Linked DNA regions of Macaca fascicularis. The protein of the gene in region 1 interacts with the protein of each later gene in a biochemical or structural test. Links are inferred from orthologs where the notes say so. Each region holds a gene or a part of one and is shown on either strand. Other genes may lie near its edges.

What was found.
Region 2: the proteins of JAG1 (region 1) and CD46 form a complex in vitro, tested with the Homo sapiens proteins (2 studies listed by IntAct, with this or other methods). The link is inferred for Macaca fascicularis from reciprocal best matches to the Homo sapiens genes JAG1 and CD46.
Region 3: the proteins of JAG1 (region 1) and NOTCH2 form a complex in vitro, tested with the Homo sapiens proteins (2 studies listed by BioGRID). The link is inferred for Macaca fascicularis from reciprocal best matches to the Homo sapiens genes JAG1 and NOTCH2.
Region 4: the proteins of JAG1 (region 1) and NOTCH1 form a complex in vitro, tested with the Homo sapiens proteins (3 studies listed by BioGRID and IntAct, with this or other methods). The link is inferred for Macaca fascicularis from reciprocal best matches to the Homo sapiens genes JAG1 and NOTCH1.

The regions. Positions count from the first base shown.
Region 1 is NC_088384.1:76,678,490-76,684,399, reverse strand, and holds the start of JAG1 (protein jagged-1), read right to left. Parts: upstream 3,922-5,910; 5' UTR 3,453-3,921; coding exon 3,372-3,452; intron 2,918-3,371; coding exon 2,612-2,917; intron 1-2,611. UniProt on the Homo sapiens protein: Ligand for multiple Notch receptors and involved in the mediation of Notch signaling. May be involved in cell-fate decisions during hematopoiesis. Seems to be involved in early and late stages of mammalian cardiovascular development.
Region 2 is NC_088375.1:65,570,224-65,576,193, reverse strand, and holds the start of CD46 (membrane cofactor protein), read right to left. Parts: upstream 3,543-5,970; 5' UTR 3,417-3,542; coding exon 3,320-3,416; exon of another isoform or gene 2,961-3,319; intron 1-2,960. UniProt on the Homo sapiens protein: Acts as a cofactor for complement factor I, a serine protease which protects autologous cells against complement-mediated injury by cleaving C3b and C4b deposited on host tissue.
Region 3 is NC_088375.1:114,479,018-114,484,214, forward strand, and holds part of NOTCH2 (neurogenic locus notch homolog protein 2), read left to right. Parts: intron 1-149; coding exon 150-246; intron 247-1,816; coding exon 1,817-1,985; intron 1,986-2,611; coding exon 2,612-2,913; intron 2,914-3,669; coding exon 3,670-3,817; intron 3,818-4,472; coding exon 4,473-4,570; intron 4,571-5,197. UniProt on the Homo sapiens protein: Functions as a receptor for membrane-bound ligands Jagged-1 (JAG1), Jagged-2 (JAG2) and Delta-1 (DLL1) to regulate cell-fate determination.
Region 4 is NC_088389.1:2,814,012-2,819,910, reverse strand, and holds the start of NOTCH1 (neurogenic locus notch homolog protein 1), read right to left. Parts: upstream 4,002-5,899; 5' UTR 3,747-4,001; coding exon 3,686-3,746; intron 2,088-3,685; coding exon 2,009-2,087; intron 1-2,008. UniProt on the Homo sapiens protein: Functions as a receptor for membrane-bound ligands Jagged-1 (JAG1), Jagged-2 (JAG2) and Delta-1 (DLL1) to regulate cell-fate determination.

The DNA.
Region 1 (5,910 bases):
TGGCAGGAAGGGCCGCCTCTACAAAGCCTTTCACATGCACATCAGAACGTGGACTGTATATCATATCTGACCAAATCGTTTCCTCCTCGTCCTCTCTAGAACATGAACAGTTGCTTGGATGGGGTCATAATTCCAAACAAAGGGCATGAATTACATGACCTTCTACACTGACCTACCCCTGCACCCTTTGCTGACACCCAGCGTCAGCAAATTTGGGAGGACTCATGCAAATGGTAATTGTGCCTGCTAGGGGTTGGGAGACGAAAGTGGTTTGGAGTTTTGCTTTGTTTTTAACCATATATCCTTTTCTTGTTATCTCTTGAATTCTGTACTGAGTTCATTTATTTCCTATTCAAGGAAATCAGTTTTAAAAGACATAGTTAATTGCCAAACTGAATGAAGCTGTGCTCTCTACTTAAATACTTGCTCAGCTACTTAAGTGTTTCAGTTACGTTTATACTCAGCCTGGAATCATTCTTGAAAGTTATGGACTGTGCCGTTTCTCCAACCACATACAGAAAAACAAACACACCTAAACTCCAATTTCTCTTGAGAAGTAAAGCTTATGTTTCACAGGCCTTTTTGGGGCATGAGGGTGGAGACTTGTGATACATGTGTTTGTCCCAACTTCAAAAGAACCACATTCTCAGCGTTGCCCCATTGGTCTTCCCCCATTCGAGAAAAGCGGAGAGTCTATTTCATGGTTGGTGACCCGTGGGGCCTGAAACCACAGAAGAGCACCAGCAAATGCAAATCAATCGCTTCTCCTGCCCTCCCACACTATTTCCGCTCCTTTTCCATTGAGCACTCGCTGACCAAGTGTCAAAAGGGGACAGACGCACCTTCTAGGTCACTTTTCCTTGGCCAGCCTAGACTAGAGCAAGCCTCCTTGTTTTCATGCTAGCCATCCCTCTGACCCTACTCTCCAAAATGAGCCTCAGCCAGGCTGCTGCTTTTCCACATCACTAATAAGATTCCTTTTATGGTCTTGTGAAAAGCGAGGGGCTCCAGACAGATCCTCCGGCAGGAGGGTGGAACCACCTGCAGGCCCCTTCCCCCTAAACTTCAAACACACGTTCAAGGGCACTGAGTATTCACAGTCAGCTTGGGCCCAGCCAGATTTAAAGGTAGCCAGGCTCTTTAGCTTAAAGTTCTCCCTAATAGGGGATTAACAAACAAGATAAATACTCTTGGTAAAAATGAAATCCCACAACAGAAGCAGTCCTTGGACCTCAAGAGAGCTTCACATACAGTAGTGTTGGTTTTAATTTTTTTTTTATAAACCCTTTTTCATGGCAGTTTTTGATAAGTGTCTTATCTCACCCACAGCGGAGGGCACCTTATAATGCCAGCTCCTGTAAACGTGGATTTTAAGAGCCACCCCAAGCTTCATACACAGTCACAGCCTGATACTCTCCCCTCTCTCGTCTCCTCCCAGAATCACAGCCAAAGCTGGCGGACAGGAGGCAGCAGAGTGCACCCCATTAGAGCACGTGGTGGTAAGCAATCCTCTGGGGCACCGAGCTCCCCCTCTCACCACCCACCCTCCCAGCACAGGCTAGGCCAAACCCCAGTCTTGGCAATGAGTCATGCCTCCTGGACAGCGGGAGCCAGGCAGAGGGCACACCCCCAACATTTCCCTTTCCTCCCCTTCTGCAATCGCACCCATCTTCCTTCCACCCATTTTGGGATGTTGCAAGGGCCTCGTTGCAGGATCTGCCAGCTGGGCCCGGGGCCTCGAGCTGCTTTGGGGGCGGAATGGGGTGGAGGATGAGGGTCTATCACTTGCACCCGCAGGCACCACCTCCAGAAGACCACCCCTTCCAGGCCTTGGCACGGCCCCCGAAGGCTTGCGGGGGCCGTGCACCCGCCCTTCCCGGGGAAGTCTGCAAACACAGCTGTTCCAGAGCCCGGGAACCGCTGGAAGTGAGGCCACAAGAGCTACACCACTCGGGGGCGGGGGCAGGAAGGGGCCGGCAGCGGGCGGGGGTTCCCGGGTCTACAGCTCCTGTGAGGGCCCCAAGAACCTCCTCCTGCGGCAGCCGCCCCCGGCCCCTGAGCCAAGCCCGGAGAGCGCCCCCGCACACACTAAAATCTCCCGGGGAGCAGCGGGAAACGGACTCCCCCACACCCTCCAGGAAGGACACACCCGCCCTCCCGGCCGTTCACGGGAAAGGGGAGGTTGCCAATTTGGACGGCGTTCGCAGGCCAGAACTGCGCCGAGTCGCCTTCCACGGCGCACCAGGTTTAATTAGTTAAGAAAAGAGATCAGCTACAACGACCTCTTGGCTTGGGGCCGGGAGGGTTACTCCGGGAACTTCAAGTTGCAAGTTTACACCGGCCTTCCTAGGAGCCTGGTCCCATAACCCCTCTGGGATCCCCACTTTTGTGCACTAGGCAAACAGCAGCAGGAATGGGACCCATCTCGACTACCCCGGTCGAGATCTAACTATAGTGTCCCGGCTCCCCCAACCGCCACCCCTAGAGATTTCCCCCGTTAGCGCCGAGTTTCAAGCCAAAGCCCTTTAAATCCCTCTAGCAGGGGATAGCAAAGCTCGGCCAGGCGCGGGTGTGAGTCTCCGCCTGGCCTCCTTCCCGAGTCGTCACTCACCGGCCAGGCGAAACTGAAAGGCAGCACGATGCGGTTGCGGTCGTTGCCGCGGCTGGCCTTGAGGTTGAAGGTGTTGCCCCCGATGACAGGCGTGGACCCTGAGCCGAAGCTGCAGGGTCCCCCGGCCGTGACGCGGGACTGATACTCCTTGAGGCACACTTTGAAGTATGTGTCACACTCGTCGCGGGTGCACTTGCGGTCTCCCGGGTTCCGGGCGCCGCCGCAGCAGTTCCCGTTCTGCAGCTCCCCGTTCACGTTCTGCATGGACAGGATCTCCAACTCGAACTGACCCGAGGCCCCACACACCTGCCGGCGAGGGAAGGAGGAAGGTCAGCGCCGGAGAAAGCTGTTTTCTTCGAGTATAGAGGTGGCGACTCCCTCCCACTCCCCGCCCCGACGAGCCCTCCGCGCCGAGTGAAAATAATTTTGCAAAACTAGGTTCAAGGACTCAACATGATTCCGGGGCAAAAAAAAAAAAAAAAAAAAAAAATGCACGAGTGCGGAAGAAATCCGACGACGACGACTGCCCGGGGGGCAAGAGCGGAGCGAACGCGCCCCTGCCCGGCCTGGAGGGGTCACCCTCAGGAGGCCGGGGCTCCCGGGAGTTGGCGCGCTCAGCCCAGGTGCAGCCGCTCCGGCGTAGGGGCGAGGAGTCGGGCGCTCGAAGGCTGCCGAGCCTGCTCGCGGGGCTCAACCGCCCAGGGCGCCGCGAGGGGAGGGAAAGGATGGCTGGGAGCAAGGCCCGGAGAGGGGCTCCTACCTTGGCTCGCAGGGCACAGAGCAGGGCGAGCAGGAGGCTTAGGGGGCGCCCGGGCCGGCCGCGCGTCCGTGGGGACCGCATCGCTGCGCCGCGCGCCGCGGGCACTCGGGACGCCGCCGCTGCTGTTCGCGCTGGTGCTGCCGCCGGTGCTGCAGTCGCCGCTGCCCCTGCGGCCGCCGCGTCCCGGCTCTAATATACTCCGCCGATTGGAGCATGCACGACTGGAAAACAACACCACTTTTCAAAAGCCCTTTCAAGAGCGGCCCTTTCCAGAAGGCAAAGAGCCCGGCCTCCTTTTATTATTCTGATCGCTTCTTTGAGACGCTCCCCCTCCTCTTCCACCTCCCGGCTTTCTTTCCTTCTCTCGCGCTCCCCTTCTTTTATTATTATGATTATGCGCAGCCTTTTATTCCCTTTCAGATCAGCTGCATGGAAAAAGGGGGAGGGAGGGTAGAAAAAAAAAAACCCAGCCTAGCTCGCGGGCCGGCCGCAGGTAACACAATGACGCGTGCCCGCCCGGCTCTCGGAGAGGGACCCGGAGAGCCCGTCTGGCAGCCGCGGCCCGGGCTGGCCACCTCTACCCAGCACGCCGGGCAGGGCGCATGCGCCCTTATTAATATTCATGAGAGGGCGTGCTCACCCAGGACACGCCCCTCCCCTTCACGTTGCTGGGGAGGGGGTAGTGCGGGGAGGAACTTGGAAGGGGTCGGGGGCTCGTGGATGCTTAGGGCGGCAAAGAAATACCGGGGCCCCACAGCAACCCCTGTTCTCGGGAGCTTCGGGCCAGGAGGGAAGGGAGAGTGCGGGGAGGTACTTGGAAGGGATGGTTGCTTAGGGACGCGTGGAGGCCCCCAGCGGGGACCGCCCCCTCGGGCGCCCGGGACCGGGAGCCTTTGCCCGCGCGTCGGGGCCCCAGGTGTAGGCGCCGCGGCGCTGGCGGAGCGGTCGGAGCGGGGCAGCTTCCGCCTTCCGAGCCGCCTGCGTCAGCTGCGGCTTTTGCCCCGGGAGGAGGGCCTGCCTGCCCGCCGGGAGTTCGGCCCGCTTCCCGCGAGCGAGCCGCCCAGAGCGCTCTGCTGGCGGCAGAGGCGGCGGCGAGGCTGGCGCGCTTGCCGCCGTCTGCTCGCCCCGCGGAGGCGACCTGGGCAGACGCTGCTGGGAACTTTGAAAAACTTTCCTGGAGCCAGGCTTGCCGCAGATTCGAGGGGAAGCCTCGGCCGCGCCCCACTCCCTCCCAAATCCGAGTCTGCGGAGCCTGGGAGGGCTCCCAGCTTCCTTTCCAAACCGCGCCGGGGCAGAGGCGCAGGGAAACCGGGGGTAGAAGGCGGTGGGCACGCCGGGGCCGTGTTCAGGCTTTGGGAAGGGCCTGCGGAGATGCTGGTGGGCTTGGAAGCCCTCCCCGGCCCGCCGCCCCGGCCGCAGTGCCGGTATTGCACCTGTAGGCGGCCTCCGAGCTGCTCTCTGGGTGGCAAGGGGCCTGGAAGGGACCGTGTCCCCACCACCGCCAGCCGCGGAACTTGCCTTCTCTGGGGTGGCAGTGGAAACCGATACTGTTTTCCACCTTGAGGCAAGCCTGGCAATTAACATCTACACTCCCGGTCATAATCAAGGTCGAAGAAAGCCCATGGGCTGGCCGTAGCCTCTGCCAACCCCTCTCCCAACGGGCTTGCTGTTGCATTTGAGGGGGCCTTTATATGGAAACATCGACTTCCTTTGAAGGGTGGACAAAGTTTTGGCCCTAACATTGGGTATGTCCTGCAGAAAAGCGTGACTGTTCAGCGGCCGGTTTGGGACTTGAGTTCTGAGTATGGGGCGTGATGGGCTGGCAATAGGTCAAGGGAAAATAGTTTCCAACATGCTGAGTTATGAGCATAAAAGGGTGGGTGTTTGTGGTTATCTACTTACTGCATTTGATGGGAGGCTCAGTATGAACAACATTTTCAGTGCCAGATCTCATCATTCTGAGGAATAAACTAGGGCAGCTAACTGACCTCTTTACATAGGTTCAAAGCTACCAAGGATGGTTAGGAGTCTTGGCATTTTAACAGCCTAAGAAATGCTCCTAAGAAAAGTGCTTACTTAGTGTTAATGTGTCCCATCTTGAGCACTGGCGAGATAATCCACGTTTTGGAAGGGAGGTTTCTAAGAACAGAGCAGGTTTAAGACTGGTCATGTTAGCAAGTGGGGTAGGCAGCAACAACCTGGGTGTTTCAATGTGTCCCAGCCTCCCTTCTCCCAGTTATCCTAAATGCAAGGCATCCAGTTGTCAACTGTAATCCTATCTACACTTTTCTCACTGAAGTTTCCATCAACATCAGTCTCCCCACTTATCTGTCCTGTTATAATTTATACTTCCATGTATCCCTGAGTTTGGGTGCTAAATAACGGTTTAAAAGTAAAATGGGCCTTGCGCTGTGGGTCGCGCCTGTAATCCCAGCACTTTGGGAGGCCGAGGCGAGTGGATCACGAGGTCAAGAGATTGAGACCATCCTGGACAACATGGTGAAACCCCATCTCTACTACAAATGCAAAAGTTAGCTGG
Region 2 (5,970 bases), on another chromosome or scaffold:
TCCCATGCACAGCACTGTCTGCTTACAAAACCTTCTCCTTGTGAGACTGAGTTGCTCCAAAAATTGAATGTTTATTTTAATCCATGTATTCTCTCTGCCTAACATCGTGAGTTCTCATTTTCACTTTCTCTAGGTTTCATACCTGTCTTGATTTATGCTTATGAACCTCAAATTTAACCTTGTTTTTCCTTCTCTTCATTCTTAGTTTTATCTTCCATGTTGCACCCTATTCATTTTATTTTTGTATGTTCCTCTATTTCAAATCGCATTCATCATCTTCTTCAACTTCCTGTTTTGTTTTGTGTGTGTTTGTGTTTTGTTTTGTTTGGTTTGAGACATGGTCTCTCACTCTGTCACCAAAGCTGGAGTACAATCAGGGCTCACTACAGCCTTGACCGCGGGCGCTCCAGTGATCCTCCCCCCTCAGCGTCACAAGTAGCTGGGACCACAGGCGTGCAACATCACACCTGGCTAATTTTTTTTTTAAATTTTCTGTATAGGTGGGCAAATTTTTTGTATAGGTGGGCTCTCCTTATGTTGCTCAGGCCGCACTTCTAGCACTAAGCCTATTCTAAGCATTAATCGTAAAAGACAAAAAGAAAAAGTCCTCTCGTTTTCTTATCACCACTGCTCCCTACTCCCATCACCCTCCTTCAAAATGAACGTTTTAATGATCAGTGAGATGCAAGACTGAAGTACCGGAAGCTCTGCAAAGTTAACACAAACAGGGGAGACAGATCCTTTCTGGCCCTCAGCTGCCCCTGCCCTAGCTTTTTAGGTACCACAGAAAGACCATCCTGAGCAGAGCTCTTTAAACAACCTTCCTCTTAGAGGCAGGAGGAGCTTTTTCCTAGGCTCTAAACTCCAGCCGAATAGTATATTTAATTTTCTGGTATTTAACAGATATGGAGGCAAACAAATGGGGCTTTTGGAACCACAAGTATGACAACACAGGCAGGATCCCTGCATTCTAACAGGGAGAGACAAAAAACAGAAAAGGTCATTTTAAAAGGGTGATTACAAGTGAAGAGGGACTTGAACCGGGTTGTATGTTCAACCTGAGATGGGGGACGTTGTGGGGGCGGGGACGTTGTGGGGGCGGGGACGTTGTGGGGGCGGGGACGTTGTGGGGGCGGGGACGTTGTGGGGGCGGGGACGTTGTGGGGGCGGGGACGTTGTGGGGGCGGGGACGTTGTGGGGGCGGGGACGTTGTGGGGGCGGGGGCGGGGGCGGGGGCGGGGGGGGCGCGTTCAGAGAAGGTCTCCTAGGGCATAACCTTCCAGCTGACTTTGCAGAAGAGCAAGCCTGTTTCTGCAGCAGGTCAGGAGGAGAGTGTTCCCAGGCTGAGGGAACAGCAAGCACAGATGCCCCCAAAGTCTGTTTGATGAGCAGAAAAGCCTTCCCTCCCTCGAGACATCTGTTAAATGCTGTCAGATTTATATCTGAAAATTATACGCCTTTCCTCCAGAGAACTTCCCTTGGTTCATAATTTATTTGTTACTATTAAGTTTTGGTTAATGTCTGCCACTCCCAATACATTGTAGCAAATAATTGATTGGTTACCTACTGTGTTCCCGGCACTGAGCACTTAGCATCGAGCAAAACAAAGTCTCTGCTTATCTTCCTGCATGAACGTGTGTGTAAACCAATAGTGAAAAAAGGATCAAGAAAATAGGAATGGTTTGTTATTGCCTACCAGTGTAATAGCAATAGACATACAAAACCCATATTCGTTGAGCAAATGCTCCTAAGGAAAAAAATGCAACACAGAAACTATACGTTATTAGATCCTAAATATAATTTGGACATAGATACACATGAAGCGCACATAAAGTCAGAAAGAAATATACCAAAATATTAAAAATAGTTGTCTTTTGATTCTGTTCGTGTCATACAATAAGCATGTATTTCTTAGCGGTTTGTTTTGTTTTGTTTTGTTTTGACAGGGTCTCACTCTGTCATGCAGGTTAGAGTGCAGTGGCATGATCACAGCTCACTGCAGCCTTCACCTCCTGAGCTCAAGCGAATCTCCTACCTCAGCCCCCAGAGTAGCTGGGACCACGGGCACACACCACCATGCCCCGCTAATTTTTGTATTTTTTGTACAGATGGGGTTTTGCCATGTTACCCACGTTGATCTCGAACTCCTGGGCACAAGCAATCACCCCGCCTGGGCTTCCCAAACTGCTGGGATCACAGGCGTCAGTCACTGCGCCTGGCCTAGCATGCATTTTTAAAATTACTGATTCCATTCAATGAAATACAATACAAATTTAGTGGGATAGGCCTTAAGCTTTAGTTTATGAGCTGTAGGGGAAAACAAGATTAACATTATTTGCCTTCCTTTGTTAGGATACTAATTTCTCACTAGGCTTGGTTACCAGTGTTTTTTAGGTTGCTTCACATCTCTCAAATATGACTCTAATGAAAAGAAGGAAAACAATGTCAAAAATCCATTAGGTAATGGAATCAGATACTGTCTCTATTGGTTGGGAACAGGAAGATGACTCGATGGTCCACCCACCCCCAAAAAAGCAGCCATTTAAAAACTAATAGGAGCTCAGGCAACACAGAAGTCTGTTCACAGAAGGCACAAAAAGCATGGCGCGCCCTTACCACCTCTCTAACACCAGGCACTGAGAGCCTGCTCTCACCCAATATGCCCTCCCCAGCCCCAGAGTCCGCGCTCACTCCATTCAAAGAAAACAGTGAGCTAGCTGTCTTGCCCACAGTGAACTCTGCACACAGGCCACTTGCGCACAACAGGCTCCCAGCAACACCTGGTCAGGCCCCTCTCGCCCAGCCCAGTCCAGCACATGGGGCACAGCAGACGCACTGCAACCCTTACCGCGGGTACTGTCCAAGCCCTAATGAACACTCCACTCACCAAGGCACCAAGGGAACACAGGGCAAACTCTCACCACGGGCACAGCACGGGCCCTAGCAACACTCCCACGCACCTGTGCACTCCAGAGCAAGCCCTCACCTGGGGCGCGCAGTCCGCACTCCCCTTGTCGACAGGGCTCAATCCCGAAAACACTGTTCACGCTTTTGAAGGGGACACAGCCAGATCCTGCGTAAATGCCGGCCGCGCACACCACGCCCCGAAACAAGCTTCACCTCGGGCTCTGCGTGGTCCCCGCAATCCCCGCCACATACCCCCAGGATCTGAGCACTACACCCCTCGGAGAACCCTGGCCTCGCTCTCTATCCCAGGCAGGCACGACGTGCAGTGAGCCCCGCCCCGCGCCTCCTGCCCGACTGACTGCGCAGAGCTCTAGCCTCGCCGCGGACGCGCGAACTCGCCCCGGGGTCCTACCGGAGAAGGAGGATAGCTGCAACACGAGGGTAGCCAAAAGCAACCCAGGAAACCGACCGGAAGAAAAGGGACGCTCGCGGCGGCCGGAAGAAGCCATGGCGCGATGCGGAAGACGCCGCTATTTTTCCGGAGGGAGAGCAGAGAAACCGAGAGCCAGCCGAGCAGGGAAGCCCCTTCTGAGTCCGGCTATGGTACGCAACAATCACCAACTCACAAAGTATCTAGGGCCGCAGAACAGGTGGGCGTGGCCTGAACCGCGCCGGGGGCGGAAGTCAGTCGACTCACGAGGGAGGCTGAGACCAATCGGCGGGCTGTGGGGTCGGAGCCCGAGGTAGCCGTTGGCCTTCGAGGAGACAGGGCGTGGCCCTGGCGGGGCCTACCTGCCCTGGCTTCCGGGACCCGCCTCTTTTCTTGGTAAACTTTTGGCTGACCATCCCGGAAGCCTGAGGCGTCGTGCGGGAAAGGGCTGCCTCATCGTCATATTTGTGACCAAGGAAGGGTGGAAAACTAAGCTGCTTTGGTCATCGTTTCCGGGAACTCGAGAATCAAGAATAAAGCACTTCGACGTAAAAACAGAGATCCAGAGTCCAGGCAGGGGGTCACCGTGGGCCAGCACCCCTCAGGGTTAGTTTTATCCTGGGGCCCTGCAGGCCGTCTGGACTGCCTGGGCCCTTATTTGGTATTTTGCATTAGTCAGGCATTATTAGAAACAATATGTGAGTTTTTCCTGCTTGAATACCTGCTACTGAATCTTCTCGGGGCCGTCTTGTTTTCACAATCTCAAAGGTTTGACTTCTGCACTCCCAGCCCCTAAGATAATTTGCTCTTTGCTCCCCTCCCTGGAGAGGACCCCTCAGAATCTAAATTATTAGGCAACACCAGGCCGTTAGCATATTGAGACTCTATGGGGCCCTTGCCCTTGAGCAACTGAATGTTTTATTGAAGACTAAATACACATGCATAAACAATGTAAGACCAAGGGTGTCCTACGTGCCAGTTGGAAGCAATGAATGCAGGAGGATTGGGGTGGGTAGAAATTGTTAGGTGAAGAGTGGATAAGGGGGAGAAGTTTTCTGGTGAAACAATCTTAGGAAGAATATCGGAAAATTAAGAATGAGCAGGATTGATTTGTAGGGTTCTGAGTAGTAAACCGGTATGACTGGTAACAGGAAAAAAAGGGACATGACTGGCATTACAAGAGCAAACAAAGAGTTGGCATTTCTTCCTCTCAGACTGGCAAAGAATTAAAACCTCAGCCAGTGTGAGTGAACGTGTTGCAGGGAGACCAGCACTCTGTTTGTAATACAATTTTTCAGAATGTTAAAAGTCTTAAAGTGGACATGAGTTCTGTTAGGCTATCAGTTCCCAGAGAAATCATCAGAGCTGTGATCAAAGATTTATAAATTTTAAAAAATGTAAACCCTAAGTGTCTAGCAAAAGTAATAAGGAATTTCTGGTAGTTAGCTTTGTGTGATGGAATTCTATGCAGCAAATATTGCAGAAGAATAGCAAATATGAGAAACTGATATAATTGTAAGTGGAAAAAGCAGAGTTCAAATTGGCATATGCCTTTTGGCATTACTTTTATTAAAAGTACCATACTAATATATATAAAAAACTGGGAATACAACAAAAATAATGGTTGATAAGATTATAGATATTTCACTTTCCTTATGCTTTTCAGTTTTCTGTTTTCTATGTTGACCTTATATTACATTTAGAATAAAGTAAAGAAAATATATTTTAAAAATCAAACCTATGTATCAAGGGCTGTTTTGTTCATAGAATTATGGGAGTAGAACTTGTACTACACAGGGTTAACCTATGAAGAGGAAGATGAGGAACTGGATGCTCAGTGTGTAAACCTCAAATGGGTCTTATAGAATTATAGAACTTAAGTGTATTTAGCAGTTTTATAACTGAGATGTACTGAAGACTTTCTGGGTTCACCAAACCATGGAATTCCTCTTCCTGTCAGACCAACAAAAATTTTAAAATTCTTGGCAGAGATTATAAGACATTAAGTGTGGAGGTGGTATATCAAATAAACATCTTAGTATCTTGGATTATAAAATTCAGACGCTCCATGACAGCAATTAAAGCAGGTACAATTAAAGAGATAGTAAATAGGAAACTCAATGAGGGGAAATTATTATTTCTGTTAATGTATGGTGTGAAAGAGTTATATGACAGACATGTTCTGTGGCTCAATGCCAGCACTCATTTGCAAAAGTGGATAGTCTATTTATTGTCCTCTGCAACAATAAATGTTAAAAATTCTCCATCTATTTTCAGGCTTGGAAGAAAAATGTCTTTTTTCTCATGAGGAATTTTATTATAAACTATAGAAGAAAAAATATGGCTAGTGTTTGATTTCCTAGTTTCAAGTGTCAGATAAGATTCAAAGATTGATATTTTATTGAAACTTTCTTTCAATCAGTAAAATTTCTATCCCTGGGGTTAATCAAGCCATTCTTAACATACTCGAAGATTTTCACATTAAATATTTAAAACTTATTTTTATTTGATTCAACTGAGGCTTCATTTGAATGGCTCTGAGCCTTGTTCTCTACTTTTTGGATAAGTTTCATGAGTCAGGGATAGCATTTTCTCGTTATATCTACAGTGCCAAAATCTATAATAGGTATACA
Region 3 (5,197 bases), on another chromosome or scaffold:
CAAAAATACTGCCCATCTTCTCTGGGCCAAGACCCTGCAAGATTGTAATAGAGCCATGGGAGTGTGTCATGATGGAAAGTGTTGAAAACCGCTCTATTAGTTTATGACATAACCACCATTCTTATTTTTTATTTTTATAATCGTATTAGAAATCTCTCAGTGCAAGTCTCAGAAGCTAACCTAATTGGTTCTGGAACAAGTGAACACTGGGTCGATGATGAAGGGCCCCAACCAAAGAAAGTGAAGGTGAGGTGGCCATGGTAGAACCACCATTGTCAGACATTATCTGATTACATTTCAAATTTCTGTCCTTTAGCTCCAGAGTGTCCTGAATGGGAGTAAAGAGTGATAGTCTTTATATGTTACCCAGACAATAACTATCCTAGGTTCTTTTAAACAGCAGGAATCCTTAGGACATTGATGACCTTGGGTTACCTATGTATACTCTTCAAGAATAACTCTTTAAAAATATTAAAACAAACACGTCTCTTTCCTTTAGTGTCGTGCTGGCAGTAGTCAAGTCAGGAATGGTGTGTGTAGATGGCAATTCCTTCATGGCCACGTCTCTTCCTTATCCTTTATGGGTACTTCTCCTTCTATAAGAAAAGATGAAATTAAGCAGTAGAAGAAAGCCAGTGATCATTGACATTGGCAAAACGAAAGCCAGTGATCATGGCAAAACGTTGACATTGGAGGCTCCATACTTTGAGCCCAGGAAACTAAAACCATATAAAAGCAAGTGGTAGATTGAGCTGAGACTGACATGAAAAAGGAGACCATCCATCCACAGCTGTGCATTGCTGGGAGCTGGTAGAGCGTGATGGTTAAGAAGACCATCGCTGGCCCTCACCCCTCCTCAGGCAGAGCAAGAGATGGATGTGTTGGATGTGAATGTCCGGGGCCCAGGTCAGCACCTGGCCTCTTCCCCTCTTCACTGGGCTGTGTCTGCCCATGGTTCCACATTGCTGTCCCTGTGTTTGCCCCATCCAGCCATACACCCCTTCTCAATTTCACAGGCTCTAAATCAGCTTGAGGAAGTGAATGCTTAAGGAATGTAGCCGTGAAGAAATTATGATAGTAACTAATCTTTAGTTAATATCAGAACTGGATTCAAATCCAAAACTCTGCCACTTAGTAGCTGGCAAGTTACTTAACCTCTTTGTAATTATCATTCCTTGTAAAATGCAGATAATAATAACCCTTTCGTCTGTGGGTTGTTGTGTTGGCATATGTGCCTTATCTACTTTCCTGTCATGTACTAAGTGTTCAGTAAAGGGTAGCTGCTTTTAAATTATCATAATTATTATTGAATAGTCTTTCCTGAGTGCTTTCTACATGTTGGGTGCTATGTTGAGTACAAGGAAGCAATGTTGAACAAGGCTTATTTTGCCTTCTCGAGAAGCTTACAGCCTGGTGGTGGAGATGGCCATGTAATACTATGTAAGCACTTAAAACAAGATCAGTTAAGCAGAGGTGAGCAGAGTATGCTTTTTAGGGCCAACAAGAAGAATTAAAGTTTACTTTCTAGTGGAGGGTAGGAAAAGTGAGAATTGGGTGCTCTGGAGATCTAAAGGCTAAAGCCTAGAGTTTGGGATGGGGGAAGGGAATTGCCTAGATGATGCAGGAAAAGTAAGCAGGAGCCACATCACGAGAGCAGTGGGAAACCAAGGCTGAGGTAATCCTCCGGAGAGGTGGAGGAGTAGGAAGAGAGAAAACAATGGGAGATAAGCAGGGTTGGTGGAGGCTCTGGACAGCTTCTCATTAGCAGTTTCTGGTGGTGGCCAGATGGATAGGGAGCGTTGTTTTCACCTTTCAGGCTGAAGATGAAGCCTTACTCTCAGAAGAAGACGACCCCATTGATCGACGGCCATGGACACAGCAGCACCTTGAAGCTGCAGACATCCGTAGGACACCATCGCTGGCCCTCACCCCTCCTCAGGCAGAGCAGGAGGTGGATGTGTTGGATGTGAATGTCCGGGGCCCAGGTCAGCACCCGGCCTCTTCCCCTCTTCACTGGGCTGTGTCTGCCCATGGTTCCACATTGCTGTCCCTGTGTTTGCCCCATCCAGCCATACACCCCTTCCCAATTTCACAGACTGTAAATCAGCTTGAGGAAATGAATGCTTAAGAAATGTAGCCATGAAGAAATTATCAACTCAGAAAGGGAAGGATTTCACATTGTTTCACGTACAGTGTGTTGAGACTAAACAGGCTGATAAAATGGGTTAGATTGTAGTAGGATAGAAAAATAATATCCCAAAGCAGAGGATAGTTAGTTAATACCTTGTGAATATATCAATTGCTCTATTAATATTACATATTTTTAAATGTCCAATTAAAATAACATATCACTTAAACTTGAGCAGAAAAACTTGTTTTACTTAGAGAAGAACCCCCAGCTTAAAAAGACTTGTACTTTCCCATTATTCTTTACAGAAACGATGTTATCAGAGGAAAACGTAGCAAATGTGAAACTAATAACCAGTTACTACAAGAAGTGCAGGGAATTCTTTGCCCCTAAGAGTAACTAAAATAGAGCTGTTTCAAGCTGAAGATAGGGTTAACTGCCTTCTCCTTCTTGAGTACTTTATGGAATTTTCCATTCCTACAGATGGCTGCACCCCATTAATGTTGGCTTCTCTCCGAGGAGGCAGCTCAGATTTGAGTGATGAAGATGAAGATGCAGAGGACTCTTCTGCTAACATCATCACAGACTTGGTCTACCAAGGTGCCAGCCTCCAGGCCCAGACGGACCGGACTGGTGAGATGGCCCTGCACCTTGCAGCCCGCTACTCACGGGCTGATGCTGCCAAGCGTCTCCTGGATGCAGGTGCAGATGCCAATGCCCAGGACAACATGGGCCGCTGCCCCCTCCATGCTGCAGTGGCAGCTGATGCCCAAGGTGTCTTCCAGGTGAAGAACATGAGAAGAGTCACTTGAATAATAATTCCTATGGCTCTGTACAGTTTTATCTTTTTTAAGGAACTAATATCTCATTGAATTTATTCAATCATTTGAGAGATTAGGGCAGGTATTAGAGTCATGCCTGCTAGATGGGAAAGTGGGAGGGGAGACAGGCAAACTGACCCAGCTCTATATAGGAAGATAGTGATAGAGCCAACTGCAGACAACAGCAGTCTTTCTGATTATTAGTGATAATTTGTTGTGCCAAGATGCTTCCCAAATGCATAGATTAGATGAGAGTGATACCTGTTCTGGAGCCTTTGACTTGTATCCACTACTGCTTACGGATTGGCCTGACTGTATGGGCTTCCAGCTGCTCATTGGCAGTTTTCTTGACCTGAGTTCCTATTATATTCCCTGATGCCTGTTTATCCTTACGAGGAAATCGGAAGCATTCTGAATCACCTTAGACTGTAGACTGACTGAAGTTGTGATATTTCCCCACATCCCTCTTCTTTCCTGAGGAAGTAGAAGGCTCTTCACTTTACATCGGCCATTATTTATTGAGCACGTATTTGTTTATTCAATCAACAACTATTTATTGATTGATGACGATAGAATCTTGGGCACAAAGATAACAAGACTTTCCCTCCCCTCTGGGAACCTACAGTGTAGCCTCAGCTCTGATGCCCTTGTTTCTTCACTGAGTTTCATTATTTTCCTTCATCCAGGTGACTCTCTTTTCTGTATTTTCTCCTCTTCTAGATTCTGATTCGCAACCGAGTAACTGATCTAGATGCCAGGATGAATGATGGTACTACACCCCTGATCCTGGCTGCCCGCCTGGCTGTGGAGGGAATGGTGGCAGAACTGATCAACTGCCAAGCAGATGTGAATGCAGTGGATGACCATGGTAGGGATGAAAGGCAGGGATTTGGATTCTTACCTGCAAAGCATGCCTCTGAGGAGGGGGAATGGTTACATGACCCTTAAAGAACTGTCTGAGATTCAAATACATGGGAGATTCACTCATTCTTTCATTCATGCATTTATTCATTCTTCCTTTAACATGCTGAACTCAGAGATCCAAGCCAGTAGGAGATCCCTAATTAAAATGAGGGATTTTTAATGAGGGTTCTTGGACCTCAGAGCAGATACATGAAAGGTGTTCCCATGTAGTTTCCTAGGCATACCACTCTTGATTTGAGGATTTATGAGAGCTGACTTCTCTAGGAGAGTTGTGGAATATTCTCAATATAAATTCTGACATGTAATACATAGGTTTTTGTCTTCAGTATGTAACAGGGTAGATTCTGCCATGTAGGGGACATGAATACCTCATACAAGTGATCCTTTCACCTAGAGGTCTTCTGCAGGCTAGGCAGCCTGTGCTGAAGTATTTCTAGAACAGAGGAAAAGGAAGAGATTACTTTGGTTTTTCCTATAGACCCCTACAGAGAACTGCTTCCTGCTGATCTCTGGGGAATTTAAAGTTTCGTTGTACAAGTCATGGTGTTTTTTACTAAGAGTATGATATGTCTGTTTATAAAAATGTTTCTCCCCTTCAGGAAAATCTGCCCTTCACTGGGCAGCTGCTGTCAATAATGTGGAGGCGACTCTTTTGCTGTTGAAAAATGGGGCTAACCGAGACATGCAGGACAACAAGGTACAATTTGTGGCTCTGAGTTTAAGGAGGCTCATAACAGTGCCTCAGTTATAAGCCCCTTCCCATTTCTCCTTACAGCTTCTCTTGTGATATGTATAGACAAAGATGGAAGCAGTTTGGGCAGACACTGGGTTTGGAGAGCTTGATGAGAATATAGGGCTTGTCCAGGCATGTGTCAGGATGGAGTTCTTTTCCCTCTCAGTATTCAGCTTGCAGTAGGCTGGCTATAGATAGCTTGGTGTAACCTTTTCTCTCCCTGACATTCCTTTTCTCCAGCTGTCTCTTCTGTTCATAGTCACTTCTTTTTCTCTTGTTTTCTTTCTTTTTTCCCTCCTGCTGCTGCTTTTTCTATCCTTGGATACCCTGATGTTTTCCTGTTTGATTTTTCTCCGTCTGAGTTTTTTGTCCTGCTTCCTTCTGTCATTCATCATCTCTCAGTTTTCTTCATTTTCCTCATCTTAGTCCTTTCTTGCACATGTTTTGTCTCTTCTTTCTTTCACTGTTTCCCTTATTTTTCCCAGTCCTGTGCATGCCTTAGTTTTTTCTCTTCCTACCTTTCTTATTTGTAACTCCTTTTCCTATTAGAACCTTATTTTGATAAGCTCAGTACTCTTTTAAGTGAGTCTC
Region 4 (5,899 bases), on another chromosome or scaffold:
GCCAAGAAGGAGGGGGCGCCAGGCCCCAGCGAAGGGGACAAGGCCAGGCACCAAAGCCCTGGTCAGTGGCCTGCCTTGGGCAGGAAACAGCTCACCAGGATCCCAGGTTTGGGGAATGGGAGAGTGGGCCCATGACACAAGTGTTTTGCGGCCCTGTGGCAGGGTTTTGGCCCAGACATCAGGGAGCTGCAGCCATCTGTACCCCAAAGCACAGCCCTCTGGCCTGTGGAGACCTCAGTCCCAGATCCCTGTGGGCCAAGCTGTTCCTACTGCCTAGTGCCACTGAGAAGAAGCAACAGGCCCCCAATTTTCCCAGCACGGCATTCCTCCCACCCTCCCAAAGTCCTCTGCAGGAGCAAGAAGCTTCTCCCAGAGACCTGAATGGGTGGAGGCAAAGTCCGAGCCGGGAGCGCGGTGGCGGGGAACGGGGTTATACATTCTGGGAAGCCACGCATAATTAATCACACGGCATTAATCCGCCTCCCCCAACAATAGCTGCTGCACTTCCCCTGGATCCCAGCTGTCGGTCTCTGAATGAAAGGAAACAAGATTTAGGGCATCAAGCGTCCGTGCGGCTTCTGCAGGGGGAGAAGGGGGCCCCAAAAAGCAAAAAAAAAAAAAAAAAAAAAAAGTAGTGTGCGCATTCATTAGTGTCTGACAAAGACACAGCCGGCTTTGTCCATTAAACTGCTCACGGACCTGCTTAATTGGCTTCAGTTTGGGGAGGGTGGGGGCCGGGGAGGGAGGGGGGCTGCTGCCCACAGGCTGGGCAGTCGGCGCAGGCAGGAGCCGGGCTGGGGTTGTCAAGGGAATGGGACCTTCTACAGTTGGAATGAGGGCGCCCAGACTGGCTGGGGAGCCATTTCTTCATCTGTAGCTCCTGGGGGGCGGAGGGAACTCTTTTTCCAGCCACCAAACACCTCCTCATTATTCTCATCAGGGATGGACTCAAGTTGAAGGGCATCGGCCACAGCAGAACAGTTCCCCACCGCCGACTGGCACTCACAGGCAGGCAGGAGGGAGCGGTTCCCCGCGACTTCCCAGCCCCCTCCATGCCCATTTTACATCTGAGCCTGGCAGACCAAAAGGGCCACGGGATTTGGAGGTCAGAGTTTGCAGATGCCAGGACAGAAACCAGACTCAATAATTACCCCACACCCCGCGCCAAAAGATGAGTTCCGCCTTCTCTTCCCCAGCCCCAGCCTGAGGCCGGGAGGAGGGAGCTGGGGCAAACAAGAGCCCAAAGGCGGGTCCAATTGTGAAGGGTCAATTTCCTTCAAAGAGGCATCACCCGCCCAGAGGGGGCATCACCCACCCAGAGGTGGCATCACCTGTGCCCAAAGGAGGCATCACCCACCCAGAGGAGGCATCACCACCAGCCCAGGAGGCATCACCTGTGCCCAGGAGGTATCACCACCAGCCCAGAAGGCATCACCCACCCATAGAGGGTATCACCCACCCAGGGGGCATCACCTGTGCCCAGAGGAGGCATCACCCATCAAGAGGAGGCATCACCACCAGCCCAAGAGGCATCACCACCCACCCAGGAGGCATCACCCCTGGAGAGGAGGCATCACCTGTGCCCAGGAGGCATCATCACCTGCCCAGGAGGCATCACCCGCCCAGAGGAGGTGCCCCAAGTTGGCAGGGTGGTGGGGTCTGGGCTTCTCAGTAAATGGTCCAGAGCTTCCCCTGACAGATCAACTGTTTCTTGGGGACTTTAAGAAGAATTGGGGTCCTGGGACTCCCACTTAGTAACCCAGGAGCCTGAGGTGGCCCACAGAGGAGTGCCTAAGCCCCCAGCAGTCAGACCAGCTCCACACGCAGCATAATTGCTGGTGATTAAGTAATTGCCAGACTTTGTCCAATAAAAGTCAGCACGTGACCGTGCCCAGACTCTGGGCCATCTCCAGAAGACAATGCCCCAGGGTTCTGTCCCCAGCGCGGCTGCAGAAGGCAGGGGCTCTGCCCTCAACAAAGCAACAGGTCCCGCAGGGGTGGTACTCACACGCAGGCCTCCGTGCCATTGGCCGCTTCACACTTCCCGCCATTCAGGCAGGTCTCACCCGGCTGGGAGCACCGCGGGCCTAGGCAGGGGCAGGAGAAGAGAGGTCAGTCTCACCCGCACCACCGAAGGCCCTTGTTACCCTGGGGGTGGGACCCGCACCCAGCCGAGGGGCACTGTCCTCCCCCGACCCTGGACGCCTCTACTCAGTGACATGGGTTACCAGGGCAGGGGACCACAGGAAGCCCCACCATGAAACCAAAGGGCGTCAACATTCTGCCCAGAGTTCTGTAGTCAGAAATGGGGGGAAGAGGAGCAGCAGGGAACACGTCCTGCTTGAAGCAGGATGGGGTGGCCTGACGTGCCGCCTGGACGCAGTGGGGTAAAAGCAGAGACAAAGTGGGCTACTCTCCCAAGCGTTGCCCCCCACCCCAGAGGCTCACTGGGGAGGCTGGCAGAGCAGGGCCCCCCATCCAGCCGCCGAGATTGCCTCTGTTCAAACCCGTTCTGCAAGGGGGCAGAGCTGGACGGCGGGAAGGGGGGGTGGCCACACTCAGCTCCCGCCCGTGGGAAAATGCGACAGCTGCTCGCCCGCTGCCCCGCCCGCCAACAAAGCGCCGGCCTCCGCCTCAGAATCAGAGCGGCCCATTGTGGAGTCGGGGCCGCCTCCAGGGGCACCAGGACTGCACCCCGGAGACCCGGCCCCGCCTCCGCCGACACCCAATACCTGCTCCCGCGGGCGCGCATCTCTAGGGCAGCCCCCAAACACACACAGGAGGGGGATGAAGGTCCCCCATTCGGAAGGAATTCGACCCCATCTCGAGAAGGGATCAATTACTCAAGCCCCTCCCTCCCCATCTTAGGGGGCTGAGAAACGGGGGAGGGTGGTGTGACATAGAGCAGCACTTTCTGGAAGAGAACAAATAATTCTCGCCTGCAACTCCCGGAGAAAGAGTGGATTAATCACTCGATTCCCCAGAGACCCCCCTCGATGTGCGGCGAGGAGAGATGTAAGAGCCCCCCACCCGCGTCCCGCTCTCCACCCCCAAGCTCTCCAAACTTCAACTCTGCAAAGCAAAAGGAAAAGTTCAGTGCCCCCCGGCACGAAGGCTTCTTACGCAAACCCCTCCCCCAAACTGAGAGCTGGGCTGGGGGGCACCGGCGGGCGGGGCGACCGGGAGCCCGGGGCCCCAGCCGGGCCGCGCGGGTCAGTGAAGGCGAACGCGGCGCCGCGGAGCCCACACTCCGCGCCCCAACATCCGCCCCGGCGTGGGCCAGAAGCGAAGAAGAAAGAAGATAAATGGCCCGGAGAAGCAACAGGAAACCAAAACCGACTCTATTCAAATCGAAAAGTAGTAGGCAGCCCGCCCGCCCGGCCGACCGGCGGCAAGCCCCACGCGCGGCGGGTGAAGGGCGGGCCCGGGTAGGGCCTCCGGGACCCCAGCACCTCACGCCGGCCTCCAAACTCGGCTCCAGGCACGGGCGGCGCGAGTCCGCCTCCACGGGGGGATCGAGGGGGAGGGTCGGTCCTCCCCCAGCCCGGGACTCCAAGAACCCCACGCCCCGGGCCGCCCGCTTTTCCCTCTCCACGCCCGCTCCCAGCCACGGGGCGCGTGCGCCGGGCGCTGCCGTTTCCAAAGAGCGCGGAAAGTGGGGGCTCGCGGGTGGGTGGGCGCCTACCTCGTGCGGCGAGCGCGGGCAGCAGCGCCAGGCAGAGCAGGGGCGCCAGGAGCGGCGGCATGCCTCCCCCCCGCTGCCCTCTGCGCCCGGACGGCGGCCTCCTGCGCTGGCCGGCGGGGCTGGGACGCACACGCGCGGCGGACGGTCCCGGGGCGGCGGCGGACAGTCCCGCCCTCTCTTCCCCGGCTGGCAGTTGGCGCTGTGCTCCCGCGGGCTCCCGGGCCCGTCTCCGCGCCTGGCTCGTTCCTTCGCTGCGCTCGCACCCGCGCCCCGCGCCCCGCGCCCCTGCGCTCCCTCCCGCGGCCGAGGCACTAGTGAGGCTCAGAGTCGAGGTGCGCTCCGCCCCCACCGGCCCCGCCCCGCCCGGCCCCGCCCCCACCGGTCCCCCCGCCCCCTCCGCGGCCGCCTCCTCCCGCGCGCTGGGTCCGCCTTTGCGCCTCCCCGAGCTGAGCCGCGCGTCCCGAGCCCAGCCTCTCCGGGGAGGAGGGACCCGGCGGCGCGGCGTGGGTCGGGAGCGGGCGCCTGGGACTACTTCTCGTTTGAAAGTTTTCAGAGGCCAAAAGTTTGAGCCGGGGCTGCGGAAGGATCCGGCTCTGGCCGTTGCCGCGCTCGGCGACAATTGGCGACGGAAGTTTGCATGTGAATAAGCGGAGGAGCCCGGGGTGGAGTAGGGAGGGCGAGGCCGCAGGCAGCTGTGTCCACCGTGCTCTGGGCCGGGCGGGGAGCAGCTGAGGCCACGTTGGGGGACCCCGGGCCCGGGGCAGGGCTTTGGGAGAAGTGGCCTAGCCGTGGGTGCGCCCCTAGCCCAGCGGCTTCTCTCCCTCCCCAGGGCCCCGTGGCTGCGGCTTTAGGCGTCCAGAGGATCGATCGCCGCCAGACACCCCTGGCCGTGATTGCCTGAGCACTTGACCGCGAGGGATGGGGGCGCAGCGGCCTCAGGGCAGGGAGTTTAGGGCGCCCCAAGGGAGCAGCCTGGACCAGTGCCTCGCGGACGTATTGCGCCCCGCTGCCCCAGGGGGGACCCGCGTCGACATGCTCCTCGGTCACCGTCCTCCTCCTGCCGGGGCGCCGCCTGCCTAAGGTGGCCCCAGAAAGCACAAACGGGTCGGGCGGATCTGCCGCTGGCGCCGGCGCAGCCCCTCCCACGTGCCCCTTCCGGCTGATTTATTTCTCCACCACGATGCCAGGCACGGGCACCCTGTGCCAAGCCTGGTTAAGCGCCAGGAGTCCAAAATGCCTGCCATAGTCCCTGCGCAAAGTTCACAGCCTCGTGCTGGGGACAAACAGCGCCCCCTCCCCACTCCAACACAGGGTGGTGAGTGCGATGGCAGAAGGCGCTGGGGGCTCTCCTGGAGTAGGAGGGCTATGCCTGCCCTGAAGGGAGACTGAAAGGCTGAGAGGGACCTAGGACTCGGGAGCCTGGGGGAGTGGCTGCAGAAACCGCAGAGCATGGTGGCAGAGGGAGGCACAGAAAGCGGGACAAATCTCACACCTGACTCCAGCGAGCCTTTCCTGGCACACCTCTTGCCAAGTGCTGAGCACTCTGGAAACAGCCAGTGCAGACGGCCTATCCCCCCCTGTAGCTGCTGCTGGGAGCCTCCCTCGCCTGCGTCCTCCCAGAAGCTGGCCTCACTTCTCCAGGCCTGGGGTAACATCTCGGGGTCAGCGCCCCAGGAGAGGAGGCGTCTGGAGGCAGCAGAGATGTTTATGTAACAGCAGCCCGGCAGCCTGGAGGAGCAGATTTTCCATAGAAGGAAGCGCGGGGCTGTGCGGCTCCCAGGCTGAGGACACTGCCCACCACGACGTCCTCTGCTCCCGGTAGGTGGGGGTGGGGTGGGGCACAGGGAGGCCTGAAGGCCTCAGGCCTAGTGTTGATCGGGTGCAACTGCCTGTGTGCCTCCGTTGGCATCTCTGCCTGTGAGCCCCAGGCCAGAAGTAATGGCCCATGTAGCCCTAGCTCGGGGGCCAGTCCTCAACATTTTTCGAAGGGGTGGCCTGGGAGGGGCGGCCTGGGAGGGGAGGGGATCCCTGGACGGGGGTTCTCCCCTGGTCTGCCCCAGCTGTGCTGACAGCATCTCCACCTGGGGCCTCTATCCTCTACCAGCAGAGAAGAGAGTGGCCCATTCGATGTCCACTCGTCAAGCCGCCCAGCAGCCAGGCACATTCATAAGCCCATGTTACAGATGGTGGAGCTGGGTGCACAGACCTGAGGGA